Regions from separate parts of the Mus musculus genome. Here regions 1 and 3 are each reported to be linked to region 2. Evidence: microRNA targets listed by miRTarBase, many of them from high-throughput screens and not tested one by one. Region 2 holds a microRNA gene; each other region holds the end of a gene's coding sequence.
The links. The annotated mature microRNA mmu-miR-125b-2-3p reads ACAAGUCAGGUUCUUGGGACCU and lies in region 2 at 2,190-2,211, opposite strand. An mRNA with a match to its seed (bases 2 to 7 or 8) in the 3' UTR can be bound and repressed. Matches are read on the target gene's strand: a 7mer-m8 pairs with bases 2 to 8, a 7mer-A1 pairs with bases 2 to 7 and ends in A, and an 8mer does both.

Region 1 (3,254 bases), not on the chromosome of region 2:
CATGGGATATTAAAAATGCCACTTCTCAAGTAGCTATGAGGACTAGCAGGGAGGTCAGAGGTACTGCAGACAGTCAAGGCCCCAGCTCTGGGTTGGAGTCCACTTAAGAGTTCTTCTCTCACTTCACAGTGACCAGTACAAAGCATACTTCTGGCCTCGGGACCTCCAAGCCTTCTCAGCTAGGCCTCTGCTTGCCTCCCCCACCCACTATTCGGGAGACGCCGAGTGGCTCAGTGACACAGAGACATCCTCCCCCTGGGACGATGACAGTGGTCGCCTCATTAGCCAGACTGGCTCTCAAAAGGCCCTTCGTGGCCCCCACCTGCACCTGACTGGCAGCAGTGGACACAGCCTCCATCCTCACCACAGGGATGAACTGTAGGTGAAGCTGGACCTAGAAGAGGACCAGTCCACGGCCCGGGCTTCCCTTCTCAGCTCTCTCCTCCTCCCTCCTCCTGCTTCTCTCCCATCCCCAACCCACCTCTTGTCTACTTCTCTCTGATTTCTCTAGCTTTGTCTCTGTCTTGTCTCTGTATCTGCCTCTCTACCTGTCTGTCTCTCTCCATAGCTGTTGACATCTCTACATCTGATTTTCCTTTTCTTTCTCTTGCCCCCTTGACCGCTAGCCCATGAGGTCCAAGTGGGAATCCAAATGAGCGATGAGAGGGGAGAGGAAGAGGTGACAGCCAGCAGAAATCTGACTGTTATTTTGGGCTCAGCTAGTTTTCTGTCCTCTGGACTCATTCCAAGGGAGGAGAAGCACTCAGAGACAGAGTCCACTCCTGAAGGTCTCAGAGTGAAGACACTAAGACCCCCAAGACTTTTTTTTTTTTTTTTTTTTTGTGACAGGGTTTTTCTGTGTAGCCCTGGCTGTCCTGGAACTCACTTTGTACACCAGGCTGGACTTGAACTCAGAAATCCGCCTGCCTCTGCCTCCCAAGTGCTGGGATTAAAGGCGTGCACCACCACTGCCTGGCTACCCCAAGACTCTTGACTCTGCTTGCAAATTTAGAGCCAGTGGGCTCAGGGACAGGGAGGCCTCAGCCTTTGGGGTTTCAAGCTGGCTGGAGCCCAGAGTCCTGCCCTCTGAGGACCCAACTACTTTGCCTCCATCTACCTCCGCCTTGGTGATTCCCTCCCTGCCTCACATCTGGGGCCCATTAGCACCCTCTTTCCTGGTTGGTGGAAAGTGCAAGAAGATGGGAGGCATACCTGGTGCTCAACACGCAGTAGGCCTTCAATAAAAGCCACTTGCATTAGCATTTTATACTTCACTTAACAGCTGAGCCTCTTTGTGTCTCTCCAGGCCAGGGCAGGACACCCTCTGAGCTAGGGAGGGAGGGAGGGCAGAAGAGGAGGGGTCAGGCTATCAGGCAGTTGCTTCCTGGATGGACAGCCATGTTCCTTTGGATGGATGGAAGGTATAGCTCCTGAGAAGAATGAGCGCCTCTGTTCTGTGCTCATCTCCATCCAGCCTGGGGTCACACTTACACTCCTGCCCTTTGCATTTCTGCTGTGTCTGCAATCCTAGTTCTGTAAGAAGCCAAGTTCTGCCTCTGGAGAGCCAGGGTTCTGCTCTGACCCTAAAGAATAAGCACCAGCAGAAGTCACCAAGTGACAGAGCATTAACCTGGTGGGTCAGGGTGCTCTTTGTGACTTCTGGACCCACAGTGGAGAAGAGAGTATGGGAAATTTAAACTCAATCCTGTAGGCATACATTTTTTTGCAACCTGCTTTTAATAAGGGTCCAACCTCTCCTTTAGCCCACCACCCAGCAGAGGCAGTGGAAGAGAAAAGTCATTAGGATATGGAGGAAGCAGACCTGTTTACCAGTCCTTTGAGGGTGAGCTTGATCTTTGGGTGCAGTTCAGTCCCGTAGCAAACTCCAAATGCGACTCAGCAGCTGCAGACCAGTCCTCTAGGCAGGCACGAACCAGCAGCTACAGTCCAGCCTTTTCAGCAGGCAGACACCAGGCACGAACCAGCAGTTGTAGTTCAATCCTACAGAAACCACCAGGCTTGACAGTGGGCCCCAAGGGAGGGAGACTGCAGAAGTGGCAAGCAGCTGCAGGAACCTCATGCAGTTCTTGGGCGAGCTTCTCACAATGGCAGCATTACCAGAGGTTGAGCTCAACAAGCTATGTAAGTCGAACCAATACGTGCATGTCGTTAAGTGAAGAATAGTGAGGTGAGCAAACCGAACCACTGCTCCCCCTCCCATTGTCTGTGGGGTGGATATTTATGGTTCTTCATCAAGAGTCCTTTCGTGTGTCTGCTCCAGCAAAACACCCTTTCACCTGTGCGGCCCAGCAAAACATATGACATAACTACTAACTTCACAAAGAAACTAGAAGCGTCCACTCTACAATCTGGATGCTGTGGCCACTCCATCTGAGGTGGCAGAGATGTTAGAGGCTACTCCACATGCTTTTGCCCTTCTGTGTGGGAAAGGGGGACTTCTCTCCACTAGTCACAGAGGACCAGGTTCTGGGCCTAGCAGCACTTAGATGGCTGGAAGAGTGAGGGGAAGGGATTCCCTGTCTTGGTTGGGGCTGACTTAGCACCTGCTAGTGCAAACAGGTTATCTCCCTTAGAGGAGCTCATTTCCTACCTGTCTTCCATTCCACAGCAGCCCTTGAACATGAGTTACGTTAGCGAGCACCCAGACCTGGCAGAGTCCGCATAGTACCTCCTGAGGTTGCGCTGCCAGTGCACTGCAGCCCAGGAGAGAGAGGTTCAGGACCTGCCATAGCTCTGAGGACTCTGGGCCAGAGGTGAGGCTGTGATGTTTTGTTCTTCTGAGGGTGAAAATCTTCCTCTCTGGATGTCTGTAATCTAGAGCAGGTAACATTTTCATTCATCCTGTAAAATTTGATTAGCCTCTCGGGGACTGAGCAGGGGTGGGGGTGGGTTCTAAGGATTCAGCAGTAAACGAAACTGATGAAAATGGGCTGTCAGGTGGACCTGGAACCCCTGTCCAGCACACACAAGGTGTCTCCCATTACCAGTACTAAGGACAACAGATACCACAAAACAATGAGAGCCTGATGGTGGGGGCTGGAGAGATGCCTCAGCAGCTAAGAGCACTGTCTGCTCCTCTAGAGGACCTGGGTTCAATTCCCAGCACCCACACGATGGCTCACACTTATCTTTAACTCCAGATCCAGGGGATCCAACTTCTTCCTCTGACCTTGTACCTGCACTAATATGTGTGTGCATGTGTGTGTGTGTGTGTGCACACATGCACGCCCAAG
Region 2 (3,254 bases):
GGAACAGTGACTTGCTACTTCAAAATTAAAATGTACAAATAAGCTGGTGTCAGAGGAGAGGTGATCCCTCATTTCCAATACACTGAGCAAGCTCACATGGGCAGCAGACAGCTCTTAATGTATGCGTCTGGCTCAGGCTGCTCTCCCAATCCAGAAGCCATCAGATTGCTAATATCACTGCGTTTTGTATGCAAACCACATCATCTTCTCACTCTTTGTTGTTTATCTTTTTGTTTATTTTAAGCTTAGAATGATCTGGTTTTCCAAGTCACATTATGAATCCACAGAACTGCATTATCTGGTGACAGCTGAGAGAGAAATGCAGAGATAGTCACATCCATTCACACACAACATAAAGTAGCTTATGAAACAAAGTCTGATGTACACACACACACACACACACACACACAGACACACACACACACACACACACACCTTTATAGCATAAGACTTGTTTGTGAGTAGTATTCTCACACAACACATGCTTTGCACAGAGAATGTTCAAAATTGCAAGATACATGATGTATATCATATATGATATATGTGATGTTCAGGAGAAGTGAAATTTATTTTAGCATTTTTTTCTCCTATAAAATCTAAGTTAATATATACTACTGTTCATTATCATAGCATAAACAGAAAACCTTTACATTTAAATTTTTTGCTATCATAGCTGACTACTATTATTCCCTAGTTCATTGTGGATTTCAACTGATGAAGTAACACTTGCATATCGTTTATGATTATCATAAAACAGGTGTTAGTAAACACACTCCTCTCTGATCATCTGTGTAAAGCTTCTGTTAAATAGAATCAAGCTTGTGTGATGCTCACAGATACACATACATAGAGTTCTTTGTGATTAAAGAAAAGTTCTGACTTTATATTTACTCCTTTCACATGGAGTCGTAAAACATGCTTATATACACACTTAGATTTTAAAGCTTCTAGATAAATGACAGGGGTGAGGCCAGGAAAGAATCTAAAAAGATTCTTTGTGTTGATACGACATCAACACAAACTTCAACGTAGTCTGTGTTTATGATACTATTATATTATTTTTAGGAAACAATAAAGATGCTTTGCATTTTTTTGATATTTCAAGTAATGAGCAATAGTAACAACCTTAACAAAAACAGAACAAAGACTCCACATGATATCCTAAAATAGATTCATAGGTTTATTTACTAATGGAGAAAACAATTTACGGTGAAACATCAGAGTTAAAACACCAAAGTCACTCTTGCCTGTGTTATGAAAGCCACCTTGTTTTAAGCCTAAATTTCTGCAATGTTACTGTATATTTGGAATAGATTTATTGATTATAGATCAAAAAAAACACATGTTTAATGTATCATTGACTAATAAGTCACACAGGCTATGGATGGAATATTTACTTCTGGTAATGAAAATTCTGATCAAAGCCTGCATCTCAGACGTGTTTTACATGTGAACAAGAGCAGCTGAGTTCATAGGCATTCTCTAATGCTTTATAACACACACAAAGTGAAATGTAGAAATTCAAAAGCACTGTATTTTCCCTAAATATATACTTTGTGAATCTCAGAATAAGGCAGTTGTTCATACATATATACTGTTATGTGTGGGCAAAAGACTAAGGAAACACTGGCTAAAATTACCATGTATAAAACAATATTCTCTCATATTAGTATCAACAAGAATAAGATCAATAAAGAAAACTGTAAATCGTTTCTTTTTCAGGCCTCGAGTATGATTAGAATCTCATTTGACGTAGTCTAAGCCACAGTTCTATGGAAGCATGCATAATTTATTGAAATAACTAATGTATATAATTCTACGCATACAAAAACTTATGAATATAAACAACTCTTACAATGAATCTTCTTCATCTTAAAACACACCCAAAGCGATGTTTATTTTTTTAAAAAGAACTTGTGTTTTAATTCTACTTCTTGTACATATCTCTTACAACACTTTTATACGATAATCACAGTAAATACAAACGCTATTTCTATTCTACTGTGCCATATCTTTAGAGTACCGATTCTGAAGATTGTATTTTGGGGGTGTTGTCATGGTGAAACCCTTGCTGATTAGAAAGAAAACCATTGTTCTTTGCGCCTATGCAGAATCTATGCCTGTTCTTTTGTTCTGGTGGTTTATGCCGAGAATCAATAAGGTCCCAAGCTGCTGGTATCCCTCCGCCTAGGTCCCAAGAACCTGACTTGTGATGTTACTAAAATACCTCACAAGTTAGGGTCTCAGGGACTAGGCAAAGTCTCGTGTGATGCAGGAGAATTCTTCTTCCAGGTAAACGGACAGCTTGGGAATTAGAGTTGGGTTCATTTATTTTTAATCTTCTAAATACTAATTGAAACACACAGACAGAAACATAAGTAACACATGAAAGTCAAAGATGAGCTGAATAATCAGGACGGCCACCTATAGATCAGAACTTACAGTAATGTGGGGCATGAAAAACAAAGCAGACAATGGACATTTAAGAATCACCCCATTCTATCCAAAGAAGGAGACAAAAATGGGTTAAAATATGCTCCTTGCAGATTTTTACAGCAACACCCACTTCTATTACACTAAAAAAGGATTATATGCCAGTTAATGGGGCCCTAATTGATATTTTGCTTCTATTGAAGTTTTATATATCACAACTGTTACTGTGGGCCCAGGATATACAACACTTCAAACTCTCATTTAAATTATTACAGATAAGATTTAAACAAAAACTTTGAATATGTCATAATTTAATACCTATTAATGTTGATTTTTCTCTTTAAATATGCAAACTATTCAGACAGCAAATATTTTCATGCACACTTCATAGTTATTTGAACAAGACCACCTAACAAGCTTTAACTTAAAATCCTGGCAACATAGTAAGAAAACAAAAAAAGATCCTTTACTTTGAATAATTACATTATATAGTTCAATACTTTTGAAAATACACAGTCTCAATCCTGACTATTCATCAAATTCTCTCCCATCTTTTCGCCTTGTTGTGAAAGAGCAGAATCTGGACTTTAGGAATGATCCAAGGTTTAGTAGCACAGAATGCAGGGCAAAACAATCACACTTAGCACAGCATAAAACTCCTGGCCACAGAAGTGGAATCTGGTTCTTCAGAAGTGGTTGATCTTAAAAGGGAAAAGCAGGGGGGTTAGAAAAGGAGAGAGGGGGAGAGAGAGAGAGAGAGAGAGAGAGAGAGAGAGAGAGAGAGAGAGAGAGAGAGAGAGAGAGAGAGAAATGGAATGATT
Region 3 (3,254 bases), not on the chromosome of region 2:
CCTGCGTAAGGAAGGGGCAGTGCCGCACAAAACGTGGCACCTTTAGTTTATTTCTGTTCCCTCCTCACTGTCTCAATAAAGGAAGAGAAGAAGCCACCCCCTCCAGTCCCGAAGAAGCCAGCCAAATCCAAGGCGGCAGTGAGCCGCGACAAGGCCTCAGACGCGGGGGACAAGCAGCGTCAGGAGGCCAGAAAGAGACTCCTGGCCGCCAAGCGAGCAGCGTCTGTGCGGCAGAACTCGGCCACAGAGAGTGCGGACAGCATCGAGATTTATGTCCCCGAGGCCCAGACCAGGCTCTAAGGCCGTGAAGGAGAAAGCACTCAATTTGAAATCATTAAAAACTCAATGCAAATGGAACAGCGTTTCTCACCCTTCAGTATGGTTATTATCTCTAGAGACCCTGAGCCAACTTTCCAATTGACACACACAAGGGCTCACAATGTGGCTTTTCTGGGTCCCTCCGAGCTTTAGGTTATGAAGACTTGACTCAAAAAAAAAAAAATTAAAAAAAATTAAAAACCACACTCTAGAACCTTTTCCCCTTGGGCTGCCATGGCGGACCAGATGACGACTTGGGCAGCCGCGGCCCAGCCTCCAGATTGCGGTCTTTTTACTTGCTCTGTCTGCCGAGAACTAGCTTGTTTACAAGACGACGACAACAGTCCAAGGCAACCTTGGGCCCCTGCCATGTCCCTCCCTCCCCTACAGCCCACAGCTTTTCTGTTTTCCTGCAGAACTCACAGGGGTCACCATTGTGGCTTTCTGGTTCACACCCTTTGGGGCTGAGGACCCAGAGGACAGAGAGAAGGGCAGCACCCACCCACCCCAACCTCCCCACTAAGTGCTCACACACAGCTGGTCCGCCCTCCCTCCGCTGCCACACGCCAGCCTAGGCAGTGTCGGGCTGGACTGGCCTGGCCTCTGAGCAGATAGGAAAGTACTGGTCCTTGGGGCACGTGGGGAAACCACGGCTACCATGCTCCAGCCTCCTCTTCAGCAAAAGAAAATGTAGGACTCCCAAGTGGCTTCCAGGGGGTTGGCTGTCCTTGGCCGCACCTTTATCCAGTCCCCCAGGGGCAGGTGGCGGCTTCTGTACGTTTGTGTACATATGCACATAGACCTTAGAGTGTATATTTAATTAACGCCCATCTGCTCACCCAAAGCCCACCAGCGCCGCCGGCTCTCGGGGTCCCTGCAGGAGGCGGGTGTGTGAATAGCATATATTTTTACATGTACTATATCTAGGTGTGTGTACAAGTGTGTGTAAAAATATACCTTGTGTGTAAGCAGTCCCGTTTTTGGTTGTCCCCCTAGCCCGTCAGCCCAGCCTCTTGAGTTTTTCATTCTGTTGTGATTTTTCATCCCAATCCTCTCCTGTCCCCCACTCCCATCCCCAAGGTGTTCTGAGCCCTGAGCTGCAAAGGCCTGGGCCCGCAGAGCAGGACGGGAGGGCAGGGCTGGGTCAGGCCGCCTGGAGGGGGCCGGACCCAGCAGTTTGGCGTATCGGGCTGTTCTATACTGTGCATATGATTTGAGGGCATTGGGGACATTCTCTTGTCTGGCGCATGCTGCAGGGTTTTCCCCCAGGTGAAGCAAAGGCCTGCTCTGGGGGCCTGTTCCAGCTTGGCCGCCCCCTCTGTGACCTTGGGCAAGTCACTTGACCTCTGTGTGCCTCAACTTCCTCCTCTGTAAAATGGGGACAGTCCCTGCCCCTCCCTACCTCACAGGCATGTTGTGAGAATAAATGAGGTAACGTGTAACGAGGCCTCATGGTGTTATTGCACTGTGGTGGGCTGGACTGGGTAAGGAGGATGGCAGCAGACGATCCCAGGAAACCCAGCTAGACCCCACCTCCCGGAAGGCTCCCTGGTCTGTGAGCCTGGGCAGTAAATCGAGGAAGCATCTATGTGGCATTCAGTCCACCAGGCATCAGAACAGCATACTTCATAGGGACCATCTCAGAAGAAAGAGAGCAGATCGTTCATTCAAAGGCCTGGCCTCTGTACATGGCAGGCAGGGCCCCATGACCCCCAGCAACTGCCCCCTCACCAGCCTAGGGATCCAGTGCCTTAGGGAATATGACCTGCTGTGAGAGAGCTGCATGGGGGAAGCCAGTGTGGTGTGGATTAGTCTCAGTGACAGGGCCGTAAGTCTGTGGAAGAAGGGGAGGAGCTGCAGAGAGTCCAACCCAGGTGGAAGAGGCCTGCTACTGAATGACAGCCAGGAAGCAAGGAAGATGCCACCCAGTGGAGTCAGAACGTTGTATTTAAAAGGTCTTGGGCCAGGCCCTGGAACCACATATGTATGCCTCCCCTGGCTCATCCCAGTCAGGATACGGGTGACCCCAGGCCCAGGGACCCAGCTTTTCAGGAGTTTGGCCCCAGCTGGACCCCTTATGAAATCCCAGCTGTAAATAGAGCCCTGTGCTTGGATCCCAGCATGCCTCTGTCAGGGAGGCTGAGCAGCAGCAGCCATCCCGGGCCTGTGTAACAGTGCTGTCCTTCACCCACTTGAAGGGCAAGTGGCTTCCTGTTTTGTCAGATTAAGATTGTTTCTGCATCTAGCACTTAACCGGCCATTCAAAGGTATAAGTGAATGCTGGCGAGGGCAAGCCAGACATGAGGAATGGAGGTCAGATAGAGGCCTAACTACCCTCATGGGCCTCAGGGACTTGGAAGGAGAGGAACTTGGCATGGGAGAGTCTTGATCTGGCCTGGGAAGGTTCTTGGAATTACAAGCCAAAAGGATGGGCGTCTTGTGTGGAACGTGGGTCTCTACACCTAGATAGCCTAGTGCCATGCTAAAGGGACGCTTCCCAAATCTATCCTGCACCTCCTAAGAACAAGGACGGTTTCTGCCTGGCCACAACACCCTCAAAAAAACAAATGTTCCAGGCAACACTCCTTTATCCAGACATTTGGAGCCTAAAATACCCAACATCCTACAGGTAGTAGCTCAAGCCTTGTTCCCCATGACTTCCCCTGGTCCGTTACATCTGGTTAGGGGCACTCGTGACTTTTAGACCAAGTTTCTAGTCTGAAGACTACAACGGGTGCCCAGGCTTCCTTGTGTTCTTCTTTGTGACAGTGATCATTTTAAAGTGCCCGAGCAGCTTACAGAAGGTTTCTTGGTTTTGTTTTATGAGATGTATTACGTAGCCCAGTCTCGACCTGTAATGTGAGCCTGCCTCCCGAATGTTGGCATGGCAAGCAGGTGCTTCCACACCCCACTCCTCCCTGGCTAGATTTAAAGCA

Region 1: the mRNA of Cercam is a reported target of mmu-miR-125b-2-3p. Seed matches in the 3' UTR shown: 7mer-A1 at 903-909.
Region 3: the mRNA of Dlgap4 is a reported target of mmu-miR-125b-2-3p. Seed matches in the 3' UTR shown: 7mer-A1 at 480-486.

Annotation. Positions count from the first base shown.
Region 1 is chr2:29,881,567-29,884,820 of GRCm38, forward strand. Cercam (cerebral endothelial cell adhesion molecule) reads left to right here. Exons shown (of 12, transcript NM_207298.2): 12 at 130-1,274. The coding sequence ends at 382. Among named protein-coding and RNA genes, the nearest start is that of Odf2, 6.8 kb to the right of the region's middle.
Region 2 is chr16:77,645,275-77,648,528 of GRCm38, reverse strand. It overlaps Mir125b-2 (microRNA 125b-2), which reads right to left and starts at 2,256; the gene lies at 2,186-2,256.
Region 3 is chr2:156,762,604-156,765,857 of GRCm38, forward strand. Dlgap4 (DLG associated protein 4) reads left to right here. Exons shown (of 13, transcript NM_146128.6): 13 at 82-1,760. The coding sequence ends at 300. Among named protein-coding and RNA genes, the nearest start is that of Myl9, 11 kb to the right of the region's middle.